Linked DNA regions of Diceros bicornis minor. The protein of the gene in region 1 interacts with the protein of each later gene in a pairwise test. Links are inferred from orthologs where the notes say so. Each region holds a gene or a part of one and is shown on either strand. Other genes may lie near its edges.

Region 1 (11,344 bases):
GTCCCTAAGACTTTTCAGAGAATTAATCTTACCTTGACCACATGCTGAAGAGCAGGTCTCACTGCTGTCATTAAACTGTCTTGTGCTACCACCTCAAAGATGGATGGCTGGTCATCCGCCACAGAAGCAGTTGTGATGTGAGCCCCATGCTCAGCCATAGTTTCCTGTGTGCACTTGGTTTCACTTTGCCCACCAATTCTATAGTAAGCATGAACTTTCCTGGGGGTATTAAATGGGTTCTCAGTCTTAAAAGTAAGATTTCTGCAGGATACCCGGAATTCCTAACTCAATTTTCCGGAACTGGCGGGGGGAAAGACCTCTTCTGGAGGCAGAGGGGAGGGGTCTCAAATTTAGGAAGTTAAGAGCGAAGTTAACGCAGACGTGGGTGCAAGAGGTGTGGATGTGTGGGATGACTCGTCAAATGCTGCACCTCACAGTGCAGAGCGTGACTATGGGGGACAGGTTATGGGCAAAGGACGCCGTCCTCTCGAGCTGCAGTCCTGGAGGCTGCTGCGAATCAGCGACTCGCAATCGTGAGGGCTCAAAACGAAGCGGGCTCTGAGGCCGGAGGTGCCAGTGCGGGCCTGTACGCGAGGACTGGCTCCAGCTGCTGGCTGTCAAGTGCCCCCGCCCGCGCCCGTCCTTGGGCGCTGACTCCCGGAGAGGCGCGAAGGACCCACGACGCCACAGTTGACTGGATCGCTGTGTGACAGAAGCCGCACCGGGAAATACAAGCTGCCGGGGTTTAGCGACGGCAGGCGGAGAGGCGCTCTAGCCCCGAACGCGGCCCCGAAACCGGAACTAGAAAACTCTATGACCCTCCCAGGACTTCCGCTTCCGCCCCGCTGAAATTAAAGGCGGCACTTGGGTGCTCGTGTGGAGAGGGTGTGTCCGCTCGGTTGTTCTACTTTCATTGTTTTGCATCGCAGCCTGGGTGGAAAGCCACAGCTGTGAATCCGTCTCTGCGGAGGCTTTTTTGACAAGGTGTTTGGGGCACCGCGCCGACGTGTGGCACCTAGAGCAAGAGCTCGGGCCGGCGGCTGAGGCCTTCGTTTCCGGGGGCGAGCGAGTAAGGGGCGGAGGGACAAAAAGGAATAGGCAGATGCGAAGTCTCTCTCTGTAGGGGGGAGAGGGATTGATTTATGGTCAGCCACTTCCGGGAAGGCTTTGAAGCGACGTAGCTGGGGATGAAAGTCTTAGCATTATTGCCGCCAACTATAAAGAAAGATTAGAATGGGAAAGGTTCCCGCTGTTCCTCAAAACTTGAGATAATCACTTTTCATTCAAGCCGGTGGTTTAACTGTCTTCTAGGTTTCGTTACATTCAAGCATAACTAGGCACTTGTTACAGTAGATGTAAATGGTTCTTACCCTCGTACACGGTAGGATGTGTCACATTAGTGATATGAATACAGTGCTAAGACAAGGGATCCTAGTGAACTGGGGAGACTTGACAGAGAAGGTACTTTTCATTGTTTGCATACCAAAGTTCGTGTAGTTTATCTTACAGTTAGCAAAGTGCTTTTACATCGTTTGCAACTTTGCCGCGTTTGAGTTGCTGATACAGTTTTATTGAATTTGTATAAGCGTTCAAGTTCAACTTCTGTCTCTCTGCAACCCCTCCCCGACCCCTGAGCTCAACAGCTAGAAATAGAAGGTATTATTCACTGCCCTAGAGAACGTTATGGTATAAAGGCAGATAATTGGTTTGCATGAGAACCCTCGAAAAATACGATTTGGGTTTAGTTATTTCAATAGGACAGAAAATCTTGCAAGTTAACAATAATTATAGTTCTAAAAAGTGTTTTTTCCTCTACCAAAATACCTTCCGGAGAAAAATCACACTGAAATAAGATTTTTACTTTACAGAATTTTAAGGACTAGAGTTAATGTATCTACATAAAGCAGCTGGTACATACTAGGTGCCCAATCAATGGTAGCTATTATATACAGCTTTTTCTTAAGTGAACAGCAGAAAGACAAAGTTGAGAAATAGCATCAATCAGAACAAGTGGGGAGGGCCAGCCGGGTGGCGCAAGTGGTTAAGTGCGTGCGCTCTCCTGCGGTGGCCTGGGGTTCCCCAGTTCGGATCCCATCGCAAACCCACACACGGCCTGGCAAGCCATGCTGTGAGGGCATCCCATATAAAGTGGAGGAAGAGGTGCACCCATGTTAGCCCAGGGCCAGTCTTCCTCAGCAAGAAAAGGAGGAGAGTTGGCAGATGTTAGCACAGGGCTGATCTTTCTCACACAAATAAATAAATAAAATGAAAGAAGTAGGGAATTAAACATTTGTATCAATTAGGGTTCTTTGGTTACAAGCAACAGAAACAGGCTAATTTAAAGTAAAAAATTTATTAGAAGTATATGGAGTAGCTAACAAAAGGAAAGCCAGCTCTGAAAGAACAGGAACGTCTCTAGCAAGCATTGGCAAACTCTCATCCAGGCAACATACAATGAATGAGCTGCAACAAATTTCTGTCTGTCACTGTACTTATGATTCAAATTCCTATTGACCTACCTTGGTTCAGATTTCCTCTCCACTGTTTCACTTAGCCAGAAGAGAAGGCAAGACACCTTGATTAATAGTCCTTTGAGAATGCTCCAAAAGTAAACTGAAGTTATTACATGAGAAAAAGGAAAGGCAGTCAAAAATAACATGTCAATTATTACAGCCAACAAATAATAAACACCTCATTACAAATCCCACCTTCAGGCTTATAGTGTAATAGATGAAATAAGACACATAAAAAATGATAGCACTTATTTATGTTAAAAGGGTTAAGAGCCATCAGATAGGTTAATATGATATGAATTTAGAGGAAGAGAGAACAACCAGCTGGGAGAAATAAGGCCATTCAGACTAGCTTAAACAGAATCATTTTAGCTTAGGTAACCAAACAAAAGGAAGAACGTTTCTTTTTTTTTTTTTTTTGTGAGGAAGATCAGCCCTGAGCTGACATCCATGCCAATCCTCTTTTTGCTGAGGAAGACCGGCCCTGAGCTAACATCTATTGCCAATCTTCCTCTCTTTTTTTTCCCCCCCCTTTTCTCCCCAAAGCCTCAGTAGATAGTTGTATGTCACAGTTGCACATCCCCCTAGTTGCCGTACGTGGGATGCAGCCTCAGCATGGCCAGACAAGCGGTGCGTCGGTGCACACCCGGGATCCGAACCTAGGCCGCCAGTAGCGGAGCGCATGCACTTAACCGCTAAGCCACAGGGCTGGCCCCAGAAATAATGTTTCTAACCTCTTATTTTATCTCAGCTTCTGTCTGCCAGTTGCTTTCTAATACAGTGATGTAACCTGGTACTTCCTGTACCTCATATAACAGATGGCCACTGAGAAAGTTTTGTGCATTAGGTGGACCTCAAAAGATGAGTACATTTGGGGCAAGTCACAGTAATGGTGATAGAGCTTTCCAAGCTAAGGGAGCAGGATGGAGTATATATAAGGAGGAAATTGTTTAGTTTGCTTTAACCATAGAGCCACAGAAAGGAATAGTAGAGAACATGTTGAAAAGTAGATTTAGGTGAATTACAGAGGGTCCTAAATGCTAATTTTAGTACTTTGTGGACATTCATTAATTTATTCAATAAATATGGAGTACCTCCTATGTGCCAGGCATTATGTTACGTGCTGGGTATAAAATAGTAATAAAAAGAGATGCGGTATCTGCCCTCATGGAATTTACGTTCTAGTTGGGGAGGGAAATAACAAGTAAGTAAACTAATAAATACATAATTTACAAATTGAATAAGAGGGCTGGGATGGGGGTGGCAGAGGGAGCTGGAAGAACAGAACCTTAGGTAATCAGGGAGTGCCTTTCTGAAGAGATTACACTGAAACTGAGACCTAAATTATGGGGAGCTAGCCATGTGAGGCGCTGGGGGAAAAGCATATTAGGCAGGAGGAGCAGTATTTGTGAAGGCCTTGAGATGGGACAGAGCGTGGCATTATTTGAGGGCTACAATAGCTAGCAAAAGGTGAAATGAGGAGGAAATGAGGTGTGACTGAAAGGCATAAAATGATGTTAGAGAGGAAGACGGGGGCCAAACTCATAGGGACTCATAGGCTGTGGGATGGAGACTTTATTTTAGTCCAAGTGCGATGGGAAGCCATGAAAGGATTTATACACCAGAGTCATGATTAGGTTTGTACTCTGAAGATGACCCTGTAATGGATATATAGTTATGTTTATTTTGTGAAAATTCATCAAGCTTTATATTTATGATGTGTGCCCTTTTTTTTTTGAATGTTATACTTCAAAAAAAGTTAAAAACCCAGCTTCACTATGGATAAAGGTTGGGAGGAGAGTTGAGGTTTCTAGTAGTTCAGGCAAGAGGTGATGGTGGCTTGGACTAATGAGGTGGAATAAAGGGGATTGGATGAATTTGAGATATTTTGAAGGTTGGGTTGACAACTTGGAGATGGATTGGATGTGGCATTAAGGGAGAGAGGGAAATCAAGAATATCCATCAGGTTTCTGGCTTGAGCAATTCAGTATAATTTATTGAAACAATCATAGAAAATATTTACATAGTCCATACTATGTGCAGGCATAGTTCTAAGTGCATTACATAGACTAATTAATTTCATCCTTGTAATAATATTATGATTGAATATTACTATTTTTCCCATTCTATAGATGACAAAACTAAAGAAAAGAGTACAGAGATGGGGAAAACAGGGGGAAGAATAGGATTTGGATATATTAGGCAACAAGGAGCAGTTGAAAGTTTTTGAACAGGAGAGAAGTATGAATCGAAGTTCTTTAAGATTTTTCTGGTGGCATCTTTACGAAGTCCACCTCTATCTGCTGGGAGTTGTACCTGAAAGCCAGTCTTTCAAACATCCCCCCCATCCCCTTATGAGATGCTTAATGTGAGTGGGACATAAATATAGAATTACCCATCAGTGTGGTTAGCAATTTGGTGGTGAAGTTTGGGGAATAGGTTAAGGCTAGCAATAGAGATTTCAGTCATATGGGTAGATAAGATAATTGAACCCATGGTATTTCTAAAGGAATAATGTAAAGACAATGTATGAGTATCAAACTTAAAAAAAAAAATCCTTGCTACTGTCTTCCTCAAATACCATCCTATATCTCTTCTGTTTTCAGCCATACTTTTTTACGGAGTTATCTGTAACTCCTGTTTTCATTTCCTCACCTCCTATTCATCCTTAAATTTCAGCGTGGCTTTTGCCTTCATATCTTTACCGATGTTCTCAGCATTGACATCAAAGACCTTTGTGTTGCTAAATCCTCGGACACTTTTCAGACCTTCTTTCTTCTCTCTGTAGCAACTGATACTGTTGACCACTCATTCATACGTTTATTCATTCAACAAATTGTGGGGAGGGGTGCTAGACCTCAGAGATAGAAGAGGGAACAGATTGGTATAGTTCCTACTTTCATGGAACTCTAAAAACATCGTAAAATATTATAACCGTCTGCTTTTCCTTCTACCTCTCTGACTGCTCCTTCTCAGTCCCCTTGGCATTTTGGTTTCCTCAGCTTCTGCCTCAGGCTCTCTCACTCCACTTTCTTTTTTTTCTTAATTAAATACTTGGTATTTTTCAGAGCAGTTTTAGGTTCACAGCAAAATTGAGAGGAAGGTAACAGATTTCTAGGTCTTGGTTTCTGAAATGAACCTACGTTTGTGTAAACACACCGATTACATGCTAGGCGCTTTACCTACTTTACTACTTTATCCCATTTAAGCTTCACAAGCTGGAGAGAGATATAGCATTGGCTTAATTTCACAGATAAGAAGACTAAAGTTGGAGGGACATTAAGTAACTTTCCCAGTCACATTCAGGGCAGGGATTGGAACTCGATCTAATGCCATCCTAACCTCTTTTCCTTGCACCACTCTCCTCTAGTCCCACTGCCAGTGTGTAGTCCTGGGCTGGATCAGCATTGCCCACACTACTTAAGTGGCCAGGGAAATGAGCTGTTTTTTTTAAAGAAAGGAACAGGATATTTCACCCTCTCTGAGTGTAAGTTTTTTAGAGAACTGTGCGAGGAAAAAAAATCCAGGGAACGTCAGCTTGTGTAATATATCCCTTCGGATAGCCACTGAACTTTCTCTGAGACCCGAGTCGCAGGTCTCTTTCCGACCAAGCAAAAAAAATCTTTCCGCCTGCAAGGCGACAGAGACCACCGCCGTTGTGTTCTCCCGCGCGCCGGGATGACGTCACGCGGCGAGGTTCTCTGACATCAGAGTTTCCTGTCCACCATCTTTGTCCCTGGCAAAGTGGCTTTTGCGCAGTGGCTTAGACCTGGAGGAGTCGTGACGTGCAGGAAACCATTACAACACCACTCGGGCCGTGCTCCCTGGCTGCTGCCGCCACCGCCCGGTCCTTGCCTCCGGTGAGTTTAAGGCGGCTAACTTTGGGGTGTGTCCTGCATTGATGGAGATGGGGGTAATCCCAGCTTGGGTTGGAGACGGGCGGAGGAAAGGAAGTCCTCGGAGCATAACCGTTGAGGATGGAGTGAGCCGTCGGGTGTGACCGTTGGGAGGGAGAGGGTTAGAGAAAGGGACTCTACTGCTCTGGCAGGGCGAGGGAATCCTCGGGTGTGGCAGCTGGAAATTGGAGGGCGCCGGGGGGGGAAAATGTGTTTCAAGTCGGGGTAGGCGGGCCAGAGGCCACGGGTGTGGCCGGTAGAAGCTGGAGGCCGATGGGAGAACCTTCCTTCTTTCCCACTTGGCGTCGTTCACTGAGGGGCTGGGACGTGTCCAGCTAATAAAAGGGAACAGGGATTCCCCCAAAGGTTTGCCCATTAATGAGCAAACCTCGCCCGTCTCCCGTGATTTGAGGTTAAGAGACACCTCTCCTCTACCTCGTAATGGAGGACCACATCCCCAGAATCTTGACCACCTGGGGAAAGAAGAGGCATTCCTGACACTTGGGGGAAGGGAAGAGAAACCTCCAGAATTGACCCGATGTAAGAGATGGGGAAGCAAGTGGGGGTAAATCTTAGCCCGGAATTTTTTCTTTCTGGGCTTAGCAGGAATGATCTGGTTTGAGAAAGGCTGTAGATTAAGCCAGAGGTAAAGAAACTGGAACTTCCTGTTATTTCCCTGTTCTTTGAATCCAAAGAATTTATTCATGCTGTTGGTTTTCAGAGCAGTGTTCTGTTTGGGGGGCAAGCTTTTACTGAACTCACTTGGCTGCTTCATTATGAAGCTATATGAATAAAGTGTGGATGCTTCATTAAACTTAGACTTCTAAAAAGAAGTTTTTTAAAAAATGCCAAACACTATCGTAATCATTGTGGTTTAAAAGAAAAAGTAAAGAAAACGCAATATGTTTAGAAAAGGCAGAATGACAAAAGAAGATGGTCTCAGTGAGGAAAATTTAAATTATTAATTACCTCCCTAGTATACTTCTATTGCTTAGCCTCAGGGTACATTTACAAAGTAATAATAGCAGCAGATGAAGGAGATGCAGCTGTACAAGAAAACGTGTAACACATTCCAATGATGACTAAGCGTGGTGGTAAGGTGAGAACTGTTTGCAGGTATCTTAAGTTAAACTCCCAAGAAAGCAGAAAGGATAATGTGTTCTGCAAACGGCCTCACTGAAAGTTAAGTGGTAAAATTAATATAAGACTAACATTCTGTGAACTAAGAGACTCAAGAAAGTCCATACTTCCATCTTTTCTTTTTTTCTTAAACAGAATATTACATTTTTCTTAAACAAAATACTCCATTTTAGGCATAGATTTGAACCAAGCTGAACAAGGAATGAGTTAGATAGGACATGTTCTCCTTTCTTCCTTCTTTCCTTCCTTTCAGGCTTAAGTTTTCCAGAGTTGATTGGTATTTTAGTTAAGAATTGGATCTAAAACTTGAGCTTCTTTCTTACTGTATAATATTAACAAATTGCTTTGTAGTCTGTCCTAGTTAAATGGAAATCACAGGTGTCCGTTGTACTTTCTTATGAGCTAAATGATACCTGAAGATGCTATTGTCTTTGCATTATTAAAATATTGGATTAGCATCTCTCCCCCTTGTAATAAAGGATTGGGGGAATGACCTTTCTGTTTTATAATTTGGTTAACTCTTTCGCTAGTTTTTCACTACGAGCACCAAACTCTGTAAAGCCCAACTTTATGTGAAAAGAAGGCATTTAGTGGCCTCACCAACTCTAATTTAGCCGCCATTTCCCAGAGAACCATTTGAAATTAAAACCCTATTAATTTTTTTCCAGCTTTATTTTGTTTAGTGGGACTGGAAGGAGGGAGGAATAGAAGGAGAGAAGGGACTTGCACAACCTATATTTAGTAGAAAGTAGGTTATGTTAAATCTAGATATATAATCCTGTGCAGGAGGCCTTCTCTGAAATGCAGTGGCATCACACTATGGTTTAGGACAAGTGAGAGTGATTGTTCGCTTTGACTGTGGCAGCTTTGTTGTTCAGCAGTGTCGCTAGGCCATACCACAAGTCCTCAGAACAGCCAGTGACTTGTCTAGTTTGATCTGGTAGAAAGGTAGTTTGAGTTCAAACTCCATGATAGCTTTGCTTTTTCCTGGGGTTCTCCTGGAGGCACAATCCCTCCGCCCCCCAGAAGAGCTTGATTTTTGCGACACTTCAGCAAATACTTGATTTTTTTCTTGAGCTCTATCTTGGCTTTTTCTTTGGCTTCTAATGCAGGCAACAGTTTTCACTGTCCTATATTTTGGAGACTCTGGCTGTGTCTATCTCTGGCATGTGATTAAGTATATCACATTTTAAAAATCTATACATATGTAATTTTTTGAGGTGAAATTCATATAACATAAAATTAACCATTTTATTTTATTTTATTTGTGAGGAAGATCAGCCCAGAGCTAACATCCATGCCAATCCTCTTTTTGCTGAGGAAGACTGGGCTAACATCTGTGCCTATCTTCCTCCACTTTAAATGGGACGCCGCGGGGCCCGGCCCAGTGGCTTAGCAGTTAAGTGCACGCTCTCCGTTGCTGGCGGCCCGGGTTCGGATCCCGGGCGCGCTTCGGATCCGGGGCGCGCACAGAGGCACCACTTGTCAGGCCATGCTGTGGCGGAGCCCCATTTACAGTGGAGGAAGATGGGCATAGATGTTAGCCCAGGGCCCGTCTTCCTCAGGAAAAAGAGGAGGATTGGCATGGATGTTAGCTCAGGGCTGATCTTCCTCACAAATAAACAAAACAAATGGGACTCCGCCACAGCGTGACCTGACAAGCGGTGCCTCCATGCGCGTCAGGGATCCGAACCCTGGCCGCCTGCAGCGGAGCGCACGCACTTTACCGCTACGCCACGTGGCCGGCACCCAAAATTACCCAGTTTAAAGTGAACAATTCAGTGGCATTTAGTATGTTCACAGTGTTGGGCAACCACCACCCCTCCACCACCTCTTCTCATTTTTTTTTGTTTAGACTGTTTTCATTTTTCTGGGAGTTTCTTTTGGCTTAAGGCAGGAACTGACTTGATACAATGTTTCTCTGCCAATATGGGTAAGGGATATTTCATTAGTATTGTTTACAGCAGTGTGAGTTGAGTGTAATGTTTCTCCCTTCTCTTTAAGAGCAGGGATTTTTAATTTAGGATCTAAGATTACTTGATTCTCTCCTCTTCCCTGAAATTTTGTGGGTGGGAACGTTACTCTCTTTAAATTAAGAACACTTAATGCTCACACTGAATAGGATGCAAATATATTCCTTGACAATGAAATTTTTTAGGGGAAGTAATAAAATGTGTGGGTCACTACTAAAGGTAGTGATAGGTTAATTTAATGTTTAACAGATTGTCTTGAAAACTCCTGTTAAGAATTTAATATGTGTGTATGTGTATGAGAGCTTTGGAAAAAAGAACAATTTTTATGCTCCTTTTCAAAGCAACTGGGTGAAAAATTCCATGCAGATTTTATTTTTTAATCTCAAGCAAGTTGTAAGTTTTGATGATCCCGTAGGACTTAGAATGGCATAATAACATTCTAGACAGACCATAATGGCCTTGAGCTCTGGCCCCACTGTCTGGCTCTAGTAACCGTTTCTGAGGACTGGTTTTTTGTTTGTATATCTAGGTTCTTAGATGATAACTTCATGTTTATTCCAGGTCTTTTTTTGTGAGATCAGCCCTATGCTAACATCTGCCAATCCTCCTCTTTTTTTGCTGGGGAACACTGGCCCTGGGCTAACATCCGTGCTCATCTTCCTCCACTTTATTATGGGATGCTGCCACAGCATGGCTTGCCAAGCAGTGCGTCGGTGCGCGCCTGGCATCCGAACCGGCGAACCCCGGGCTGCCGCAGTGGAGCGTGCGCACTTAACCGCTTGCGCCACCGGGCTGGCCCCTATTCCAGGTCTTTTATGTGAAGGGCTCCTTTCTTCGGTTTTCCCATTTCACATTTAGTTTACATTGTGAATGGATTAAATGATTATAACATTCTTTGAATTTTTGCTAGCGAGGGATTTTGCATAAAGCAAGCCTCTGTTGCAGGTTAATTTTTAGTTATAACAAATATTATCAAAACAGAAATTTCTGCATTCTCTAATGGTATTTGTGAGTTCTAGCTCCCATCTTTTAACAAGGTAGTTCAATGAAATTCTGGTACAACCTAAAGCACTATTGTATAAGGATCAGGACTGAAATAGTAAGTAGGTGCTTGGAAAGATAGGAAATGGGTCTAATTTCCCTTAGATTGTCCAAGTAGCACATTTTAGAGATCGGATTTGAGCCAAGCTTTTTTCATTATTTCATGTTTATCTGGCTGTTTTTCCTTTTCCTTAATTGCATTGATTTGTTGAGTGCTTAGGTCTTTTTTCTCAGATCCATAATTGCTGTTGTTTGCCAAATGTGTTACCACTCAAGTTTGGCAAATTATCACTGATGTGACGGTAATGAGCAGGTGCCAGGGTATCTGTCCTAAATTTGGTAGTAAGCATTGTTAATGATGGAGGTAAGGAAGAAGATACTCATTTTTGAGTACAGAAGGAATATTATTTAAAAAAAATTTTTAATATATTTAAAGAAGTCAAGTACACTGGACAAAGTCTTAGAGTTTCCCAAATCAGAAACATTGTATCATTATTTGGAGAGAAATATGACCAGTCCATGTTGCTTTTATTTTACTGGTGGAGCCCTGTGGAGCCTTGTGTCAGCTGGATTAATTCTGGAAATTGGAACAGAAGAATTAAAGATGAGGCTGTGATCCATGTTCTTTTAAGTTCTTTTAAGTTTTAACGCCAGTTCTGATTCTCTTTTGTACTCACTGTGACTGAACAGTTATCTCAGTTTTTTTGCCTTGTTTTTAACTGTAAACTGATATTATTTATTCTTTGGGAATACTGTTGGGCTAAGTGTATATTATTGGAAA
Region 2 (9,584 bases), on another chromosome or scaffold:
TCTGTACAAAGGAAATTATTAGGAAAAAACACCCGACTGTCAGATGGGGGCAGCTAAGACCACCATAGGTTCTTAGACAGGTAGCTAACTTACAAATACACAGGCATTTATATAAATTTTCTCTGTGTAATACATTTTAAATAAATAGAACATATAAATGACCTATGTTTTATATATAAATGTGTAGGGATATATATTTGTAATTTACATACTATTATAATTGTAGAAATAGTATTATAAATTACACATTATAATTTACATATAATTTTACATATAGTTTTATAAGTACTATTATGATTTTTATACTATTACAAACTACATAATTATACTATAACACATATAATTTTGGATGGACTTCAAATTTTTTTTAAAAAGCACAAATGTGTCTCCCCGGGAGGCAGGACGTGCAGCATGGATCACGCAGGGGCTGAGCTGTCCGGTGTGGTGCCTGCAGCTCACCCGTGTGAGAGCAAAGCAGAGACGCTCACGGCCCCTCTGTCCTTGTCTCCCAGGTGGACCTGCAGAGCGAGTGGCCAGGAGAGCCGAGCGCCTCACCGGCCCCGCCCCGCCTCCCCGGGCTGGTGCACGGCTGCTGTGCTGGGTGACAATGACCCGGGCACCTTGGCCACCGCAGTCAGCCTCCTTCCTTTCCCGGGGGAACAGGCTGAGTCCTTCAGGTGCCCCTGTGGTCCCCGTGTTCAGCCAGGCTGAGCAGAAACCCGGGGCGTCCCCAGTGGGAACAGCGACTCAGGTCCAGGGCACATCGCACACCTGCTCTGCAGCCCTCGGGGTGCCCGGAGCTGTCTCAAGGTCACTGGGTTTCTCAGAAGCAACCAAGCGTCCGTCTCAAGGTCACCCGGTTTGTGCCTCTAACCAGAGGTGCCAGCTCCCCTGCCCGGGGCACCCGAGCCCCCCCAGCCCTGGATGCAGGGAGCCGGACGGGCTGGGGGCAGCGTGGCTGTGCAGTCAGCCCCGACCCCCGGACCCCAGGAGTGGCCGACCCTGAAGTCCCACACCCATGACTGTGCCCTTGAACCAAGGACCCACCCACCCGAGGGAGACCCCCGGGCCTGACAGTGAGGGCCTGATGACACGTGAAAGCCGACGGAGGGTCCGTGGGGTCCCCAGACCGCCCACTCCCCCTGTCTCTGCTGGACTTGCAAAGAAGTGAGAAAATATGAGTCCTCCACGACCCGTGTTTGCATTTATTAGAACTAACACCCAAAAACAGTGCTTTCAGGAGATGGTGGGAGAGAAAGTGAGTGTGTGTGTGGGCCCCCATACAGGTGTTTATTCTTTAGGAGACAAGATTTCAAGCTTGGAATTCTGGGCTGGGCAGCCTGACCGGACCCCCGCCCTCCAGGCAGAATTCATTCATTCCAAAAATATTTCAGCACACACTGCATACGGTACAGTCTAAATGCATTACTGGCTGCAACATCAGGGGTCGGGGATGGGGGAAGGAGCTAGGACAAGAGACCGTCAGGACCACACCCGTGTCCACAGCGCCCCGGCCCCTCCCCTGTCCCCGTGGGTCCTCATCTTTCGCCCTCCCGGTGCAGCCTCATGACACCCCACTAGACCACGTCACACAACGCAGGACTGGAAGGAACTGCCTGTCGACTAGGACAGACTCCCCGGGCCCAGCTCACAGCACGTACCCCCCAAATCCCTCCTCACCTCGATGACTCACCCCCAGGGGTCAGCTGAAACCCTGAATCACCTCCCCCGTTTCTTTCAATCACCCACCCCCTTCTCAGATGCTCTGGGGTGCAGATTCAATCAGATCACCTGCTGGCCCAGCCACAGCTCATCTCTCACTCCGTCCGAGCGCCACCGAGGGCTGGGTCTTGTCTCCTCGCTGCTGGGTCTTGGAACTTAAACCCTTGGAGGAGACGCTCCCCACCTCCGCTTCCCACTCACCCCACCTCTCCCTTTCCAGGCCCAGGTGCACAGTCTACCTGGGCTCTCCCCTCCCAGGTATACGGAGATCTCGGATTCCGGCGTGCACAGCCCCGCCACCCTCCCAAATCAGCCCTAGTGGGGCAGGGGAGCCATGACTCGCGCGCGCACGAGTTGCCCACGGGCAACACTTTCTACAGAACACATTCTGAGCCCCAGTCAGCGATAACAGGAAGAGACCACGTTCATTCATTCACTCATTCACTTGTTCATTCGAGAAGCATTCCCCCAGCACCGTCCTGAGGCCAGGCACAGGCGGCCAGGGACCCCCGGGCGCTCAGAGGAACCAACACACATCATACTGGGCTGAGCGGTGGGGTGGCAGCCAGGAATGCAGGCGGAGCTCGGGGAGGGGACGTCCCCACGCCTGGGGCAGGGGAGCGGGTCACTGAGTTAACGGCCCCCCCAGCACGGGAGGAATGTTCCAGTGTCCCATGACACAGGCTCTGAGACAGAAACACTGGTTCCAGGGCCTCACCCGCAGCCCCGGCCTGAGCAGATGCCAACCAGCTGGATCCTGAAGGAGCAGCTTCAGCTGGCTGGCCCCCGCTAGCCCCGTGACAAGCCTCGCCAGGGTCCCTCCCCATCACTGGGGTCCCTCCCGGCCCAGCGAGCTGATCCCGGCAACAAATGAACAAGAGGAGATGCTTTTCTCCTCTGAGACACGGACCCCTGAGCAGACATCTCGTCCCCCCACACCCCACGGCCGCCCTCTGTCCTCCACTCCAGAGCCCCATGGGGGCTGCGGGCGTGGACCTCCAGGGACTTTCTCTGCCCCTCTGTCCCGGTGAAGCCTCAAGAACATGCCAGAACCTCCAAGGCCCTTCCAACAGCAATGCCCCCAGGGCCAAGACGCTGACACTCCTCCCTCCCCCACAGCTAGACCACCCTCTGCACCTGGGCAGCCCCAGGCACTGCCCGTCCCCTGCTTCTCCCTGGAGGTCAAGACCGGACTCAGGAAGCCATGGTCAAGGACACGGGAGACTGGGGAAATCACCGGCTCCCAGTGCCCAAGGCTCTTCTGGGTGCTTCCCAGGCCTCCACCCACCCGTGAACCCATTGCCAGGGGGGTTTTACCTGCTGGTGGGGACGCAGGAGACCAAAAAGAAGCAAAGGGGGCAGGGAGAAAAATGAGAAAGGGAGGGAAGAAGACAGAGACAAACAGCGGGAGAAAAGAAACGGGATTCTGGCTCCCCGGTTGCTACTGAAGAGCTATTTGGTGCTCCTTACACCGTGTTCAGTTCGCGACGGTTACGACCTGTATCACTTAGTTACAATTCACTAAAAAGTCTGCAACATTTCAAAACACCTCGGCCTCGGGAGCGTCCCTGTGCATGTCTGTGTGTGCACGAGCATGTGTGCAAATGCATGTGTGTACACGCGTGCATGAACTTGTGTGCACGTGTGAGGGTGTGTATACGTGTGCATGAAGTGTGCATGTGCGCGGGAGTGAGCGTGCGCACGCGTGGCGTGTATGCACGAGCATAAGCGTGAGTGCATGCGTGTGAGTGTGAGCATGTGCCGGGCAGCACACGCCCTCCTGCCCCTCCCGGAGCCCCCACGTCGCAGCGCCCGGAGCGCCACCCGGAGTCCCGCCATGGGGTCAGGGTTCCGGGGCCCCCGCGGGAGCTGGGGTGGTCCCGGGGGGCTCGCGCAGGCCCCGCGGACGGATAGGAAGAGGGGCCGGGGTCTCCCGGGCAGGGGGCGAGCACGGCCTGGAGAGCCGGGCCGCGGGGGCACGTCTCGGGGGGAGCGAGTGTAGGGGGTAGGAGCGCCCTGGGGGTCGAGGGTCCGGGGGAGGGGGGCTCGGCCCCCTGCTCTGGCCCTGCGGGTCACGGCCGGGGTCCGGGGGTCAGCGGGGCGAACGCGGAGGTCACGACCACGGCTCGGGGGTCCGCGGAGCAAGCCCGGGGGGTCACGGCCGGGATCCGGGCTCAGCGGGGCGAAACCGGAGGTCACGGCCAGGGCTCGGGGGTCGGCGGGGCCAGCCCGGGGGTCACGGCCGAGGTCCGGGGGTCAGCGGGGCGAAACCAGAGGTCACGGCCAGGGCTCGGGGGTCGGCGGGGCCAGCCCGGGGGGTCACGGCCGGGATCCGAGATCAGCGGGGCGAAACCGGAAGTCACGGCCAGGGCTCGGGGGTTCGCGGGGCCAGCCCGGGGGTCACGGCCGAGGTCCGGGGGTCTGCGAGGCGAGCCCGGTGGTCCGCCGGCCTCCCCTACCCACCGCCGCCGTCTGTCGCCCTCGCGCGGGCCCGGCTTGACCTTGACAAGGTCACGGCGTCCGCCAAGCCCCCGACCCACAGGGCGCATGGGCGGGGCCCGGCTCCCGACATGCCTCGCGGCGCGGAGCGCGGAAGAGGCGGGGCGTAGTCGGCGCCACAGCCAATGGGCACGGCGCGCGGGTGTGCGGGGCGGGGCGCGGCGCGGCTCCCGGCAGCCTGCGGGGGCGCGGGATCCGGGAAGGGGAGGGGCGTCGGCGCGCGGCGCAGCCAATGGGCGCGGCGGGCGGGGGCGGGGGCGGGGCGTCGGCACCTTAGCGGCTGCGCGCTGGCCGCCCCGTCCTTTCGGTCCCGGCGGCGGCAGGGCTGAGCCAGCGGCGGCTACCCACGGCTCTCCGCGTCCCCGTCCGCTCTCCGCCCGCTGCGCCGCGCGCCCCGCCACCATGACGGAACAGGCCCTCTCCTTCGCCAAGGACTTCCTGGCCGGAGGCATCGCCGCCGCCATCTCCAAGACGGCGGTGGCCCCGATCGAGCGGGTCAAGCTGCTGCTGCAGGTGCGGGCGGCCTGCGGACGCGGGGGCCAGGGCCTGGGCGCGGCGGAAGCCGGCCGGGCCGGCCACGGGCACCGCTCCGGCGGGCGGCCGGGCACCGGAAGTGGGGCGCCGCGCCGCTTTGTCCGCGCGCCTCCGGCTTCCGGGGGCGGGCCGGGCGCGCGTCACGTGGGCGCTGCCGCATGGGCGGGGGTGGAGCCGCGGGCGCGCACGCGCTCTCCGCGTCGTGGACGCCTGCGCGTGCGCTTGGAGTCTGGCGTGCCGGGATGCTGCGGCGCTGGCCGAAGGGCGCATGCGCGCCTGCTGGCCGCGTGGACAGACTCTTTGGTGTGGGGGGGGCGGTGCCTTGGGCGCGCCACGGGGTTCCTGCTAACGCCCTTTGGCGTTGGACGTCGGTTCTTGCTCCCCCTTTTATACTCCGTGTTCTGAACCAGAATAAACTATCATTGTGTGTTGTTACAAATGTTGCAAGCTGCTGGAAATGTATCGTTCTGGTGGCAGCATTTGTTGCCTTAGAAATGTATGGCTCTGATGGCAACATTGTTGCCTTAGAAAATGGATTGGTCTGATGGCAACAAGATGGATCGCTCTGATGGCATCATTGTTGCCTTACAAAATGGATCGCTCTGATGGCAACATTGTTGCCTTACAAATGGATCGTTCTGGTGGCAACATTGTTGCCTTAGAAATGGATCGTTTCTGGTGGCAACATTGTTGCCTTAGAAATGTATGGCTCTGATGGCAACATTGTTGCCTTACAAATGGATCGTTCTGGTGGCAACATTGTTACCTTAGAAAATGGTTTGCGCTGATAGCAACGATGTTGCCATGTCTGTTGGCAACACTGTTGCAGCGACAAACAGTTACCGAGTTAAAAGAACTGGTGTTTCCAGATGTGAGGTCTCTGGGCAATTCGAAGTCCGCATGCACGAGCTAGTCTTTGGAGCGGACATCTTCAGTGGGGGTCGTGGTGGGTGTTAGAGAAAGGCCCCCGTGTGACCCGCCCCCATCGCCCCTCAGGTGCAGCACGCCAGTAAGCAGATCGCGGCTGACAAGCAGTACAAGGGCATCGTGGACTGCATCGTGCGCATCCCCCGGGAGCAGGGCATCCTGTCCTTCTGGAGGGGCAACCTGGCCAACGTCATCCGCTACTTCCCCACGCAAGCCCTCAACTTCGCCTTCAAGGACAAGTACAAGCAGATCTTCCTGGGCGGCGTGGACAAGCACACTCAGTTCTGGAGGTATTTCGCCGGCAACCTGGCCTCTGGGGGGGCGGCCGGAGCCACCTCTCTCTGCTTCGTCTACCCCCTGGATTTCGCCCGGACCCGCCTGGCGGCCGACGTGGGGAAGTCGGCCACGGAGCGGGAGTTCAAAGGCCTGGGGGACTGTCTGGTGAAGATCACCAAGTCTGACGGCGTCCGGGGCCTGTACCAGGGCTTCAACGTCTCCGTGCAGGGCATCATCATCTACCGGGCCGCCTACTTTGGCGTGTACGACACGGCCAAGGGTAAGTGGGTTCTCCCGGGCTGCTGACACGGCGCCGCTGGCCGGGGGGGCTTCAGCAGCTGACACTCATGTTTTCCCCGTTCTGGAGGCTGGAGTCTGAGACCCAGACGTGGGCAGGGCTGGTTTCTCCTGAGGCCTCTCTCCTTGGCACGTAGACACCCGTTTTCTTTCTGTGTTTTCACGTGGTCGTCCCCCTGTGCATGTACATTGTTGATGTCTATATGTCTTAATTTTGCCTTCTTGTAAGGATGTGAGTCTTATTGAAATAAGGTTGTGCTATATCATTTCATTTTATCCTGATTATTTCTGTAGAAAATCCGGTATTCAGATACAGTTCTGTTCTGAGATCTTGGGGGTTGGCAATTCACTGTGATTTTTTGAGGGGGCACAGTTCACCTGTGAAAGTAAGCCCCCCCGTCAGTGAGGGCCCAGGCCTGCTGGCACCTCTACAGCAGAACGGCCTCAGGTGTGGCATGTCCACTGTCCGAGCCTCGTGCATCCGCTGCTCTGGAGAGGCCACTCCCAGGTGCTCTGCTGGCCCCTGGGCCAGTCCCACTGGAGCTTGCAGGCGGCTTCCCCCTGTAGCTGACCCCACTGTGACCTCTCCAATGTCGCCTGGTCCCGGGAGCTCCGTGTGGAGCCAGGGGGCGGCAGAGTGCAGCTGTGGGGCCTAATGCTGGTGGTGACCCTGCAGGCATGCTCCCCGACCCCAAGAATACCCACATCGTGGTGAGCTGGATGATCGCCCAGATGGTGACGGCTGTGGCGGGCGTGGTCTCCTACCCCTTCGACACCGTGCGGCGACGGATGATGATGCAATCGGGGCGCAAAGGAGGTATCTTCTCTCGGGGCTGGGAGGGGGCTGGGCAGCGGGAGGTCAGAGACGTTCTCGTAGGGCCTCGTGGCCTCAGCCTGTGGGATTCTGGGGCCATCGGATAAGGAGTTTCCCAAGGTGGCCTGGCTTAACAGGAGGCTCTGGTCGATGGCAGTGACCCATGTCCAGGCAACACTGGATCCGGTTCCAACAGCCTCTTTTCTGGCCTTGCCTGCAGACTTGTTCATGCCCGTGTCCTGGGTCTGCCTCCCTTAACTGTCTCTGGGGCGTCCACGGGCCCTGAGTGGACCAGGAGTTGGAGGTGGGGTTCTGTGGAGGAGTTCTGTGTGTTTCATCCCCACCCCCCAGCAGTAGGCCCAGTGGGGCTGTGAGCAGGGGCACTGGGCATCCAGAGCCTCCTTTCCCGCGGTTCTGACTCCAAGTTGCCCGGATGGTGGCATCCGAGGATTAGTCTCCCTACCGTGTCTTTCGTGGTTCGCCTCGTGCCCGTTTCCTGAGGAACCTCCCGCTGACCCACACCCCTCTCCCTGCAGCTGACATCATGTACAAGGGGACCGTCGACTGCTGGCGCAAGATCTTCAAGGACGAGGGCGGCAAGGCTTTCTTCAAGGGCGCCTGGTCCAACGTGCTCAGGGGCATGGGGGGCGCCTTCGTGCTGGTCCTGTACGACGAGCTGAAGAAGGTCATCTAGGCCTCGCCGCGCCGGACCCGGGACCAACCGCACCTCAGAATTCCTAACTGTTACGGACCATTGATCTTCGAGAAATTCCACTATCCTTGTCCCGGCCCGATCCCGCATAGGGGCCGGGGAAGGCTCTAGACAGGGTCCTTGTGATCGTGACCACTGGCGCCCGGATTCCATGTCTCGATTGCGGGGGGGAGGGGAATCATGCCGTCTTCGTGGGTCCACGGCCAGGCAGCTCGGAGACACGGCCATAGAGTCCAGGTAGGGCCCGCCTGTGTTTAAGTATTTATTTAAAAAGGAATCATGTTTCCCATTTGTACTTAAGCACTATCTTTTGCACAGCCGAGTATTTCCGATTACGTTCTGTGTTGGGCATTCCGCTGCAAAACAATAAAATCGGGGCACAGAGACCCTGTGTGGTGGTCTGTCTGAACCAAGCGGCCTCGTGGGGTTGGCGGCCCAAGGGGTCAGGGTGATCTCCAGCTGGGAAGCGGCAGGATTGAAACCGGGGCCCTGGCTGCCCGTCTGCAGCCTGGTCTGTCCCCCAGGCCGCCCGTGGATGGAAGAAGGGACAAACAGAAGCCAGGACCCTGGGGTCTCGGAGCTTCTCTGTGGGGAGGCTTGTTTGCTGACAGGCCTCTCCTTTCTGAAGTCCTCTTCTGCCCTGAGCTCCTGGGGTCTTCTCCATCCACCATTCGAGCATTAAGCCACCAAGGAGCCCCCAGGGGTGGCAGCTGCTGTGCGTCCGTGGCCCACGCCTGCCCTGGTCTCTCATGAGCATTCACTGCCCCGTGTGTATGCCTGCATGGGGGAGCCCGTTGCCCAGCCCCCAGGCAGCTCAGCATCCACCCCATGGAGCCGTCTCTGCACAAACACTTAGGTTCGGTGCAGGAAACAAAAAAAAACTGCAGTGTCCCCCGGGCTGAACTTGGATCCTGGTATCGTCTGCCTCTGGGCTGGGTGAACTGGGGTGGGAAGGCCGGCCCTGCTCTCCTGGGCGTCAGAAATCCTGGCCCAAGAAGGCAGATTTTGTTTTTTCTGATTCCAAAACCTCGGTACCTACAAACCTTCATGTCTGTGGAACAAGACGGTTACATTAGAGATGGAGAAATTGAAGCAAGCTTGGCCCAAGATCTGCTGGCTTCCATGGGGTAACAAGACAGGACAGGACTGTCCACCGTCACCCCCACAGGGGCCCTGCCCGCCTCCACGGAGGAACCTTGTCGGGGAGCCCCGGCGTTCAGGGTGGACTAGCTTTGAACCTGGACACCCTCCGTGTCCTCCCGGGAGCTGTGCCGGATTGAGAATGAGGACATGGCCTCACCCCGTTCCTTCTAGCCTGGTGGGGAATGGCCCATTCAGTTAGATAATTACGGCCCCGTTTAATTAGCACTTCGCTGGAATCCCGTCAGCCTAACCCTGGGACCCGTGGGGCATTCTGCACGTCATCACCTTCTCGCTATTCAGCAAAGTAGGCAAAGTCGGAAAATGCAACTCAGGCTGATTTCCTGCCTGTAAGAACCTGGAACTCTAAGGATGGAAGCAAGCCAAAAACCCAGAGGTCACTTCGCGACTCCACGTGCCAGACAGCGTTTCCAGGGGAGCCCGCCTCCTGGAGACCAGGTCCCCGAGTGGCGGGCGGTGTGACGTGAGCGTTCTTTCTCCTGGGTTCATGGCTGGGTGTTGGCGGGTGGCCGTCTTCCAGCGGCTCCGCGGGGTGGGGGGCCTCAGTGGCAGGAATTTACGCCGTGGGCCCTGAAGCTCTCACACCCTGCTGGGGGCAGCAGACAGCGGGGTCCCCCGCCTTCCACCATCTCCAGCTCCTGA

The links.
Region 2: the proteins of AP2B1 (region 1) and SLC25A6 interact in binary tests that used the Homo sapiens proteins (3 or more experiments, as listed by UniProt). The link is inferred for Diceros bicornis minor from reciprocal best matches to the Homo sapiens genes AP2B1 and SLC25A6.

The regions. Positions count from the first base shown.
Region 1 is NC_080757.1:24,119,531-24,130,874, forward strand, and holds the start of AP2B1 (AP-2 complex subunit beta), read left to right. Parts: upstream 1-6,282; 5' UTR 6,283-6,373; intron 6,374-6,787; exon of another isoform or gene 6,788-6,949; intron 6,950-11,344. Other genes in the region: PEX12 (peroxisome assembly protein 12), read right to left, coding at 33-158. UniProt on the Homo sapiens protein: Component of the adaptor protein complex 2 (AP-2). Adaptor protein complexes function in protein transport via transport vesicles in different membrane traffic pathways.
Region 2 is NC_080781.1:1,082,595-1,092,178, reverse strand, and holds SLC25A6 (ADP/ATP translocase 3), read left to right. Parts: upstream 1-4,535; 5' UTR 4,536-4,623; coding exon 4,624-4,734; intron 4,735-5,751; coding exon 5,752-6,238; intron 6,239-6,931; coding exon 6,932-7,072; intron 7,073-7,605; coding exon 7,606-7,763; 3' UTR 7,764-8,069; downstream 8,070-9,584. UniProt on the Homo sapiens protein: ADP:ATP antiporter that mediates import of ADP into the mitochondrial matrix for ATP synthesis, and export of ATP out to fuel the cell.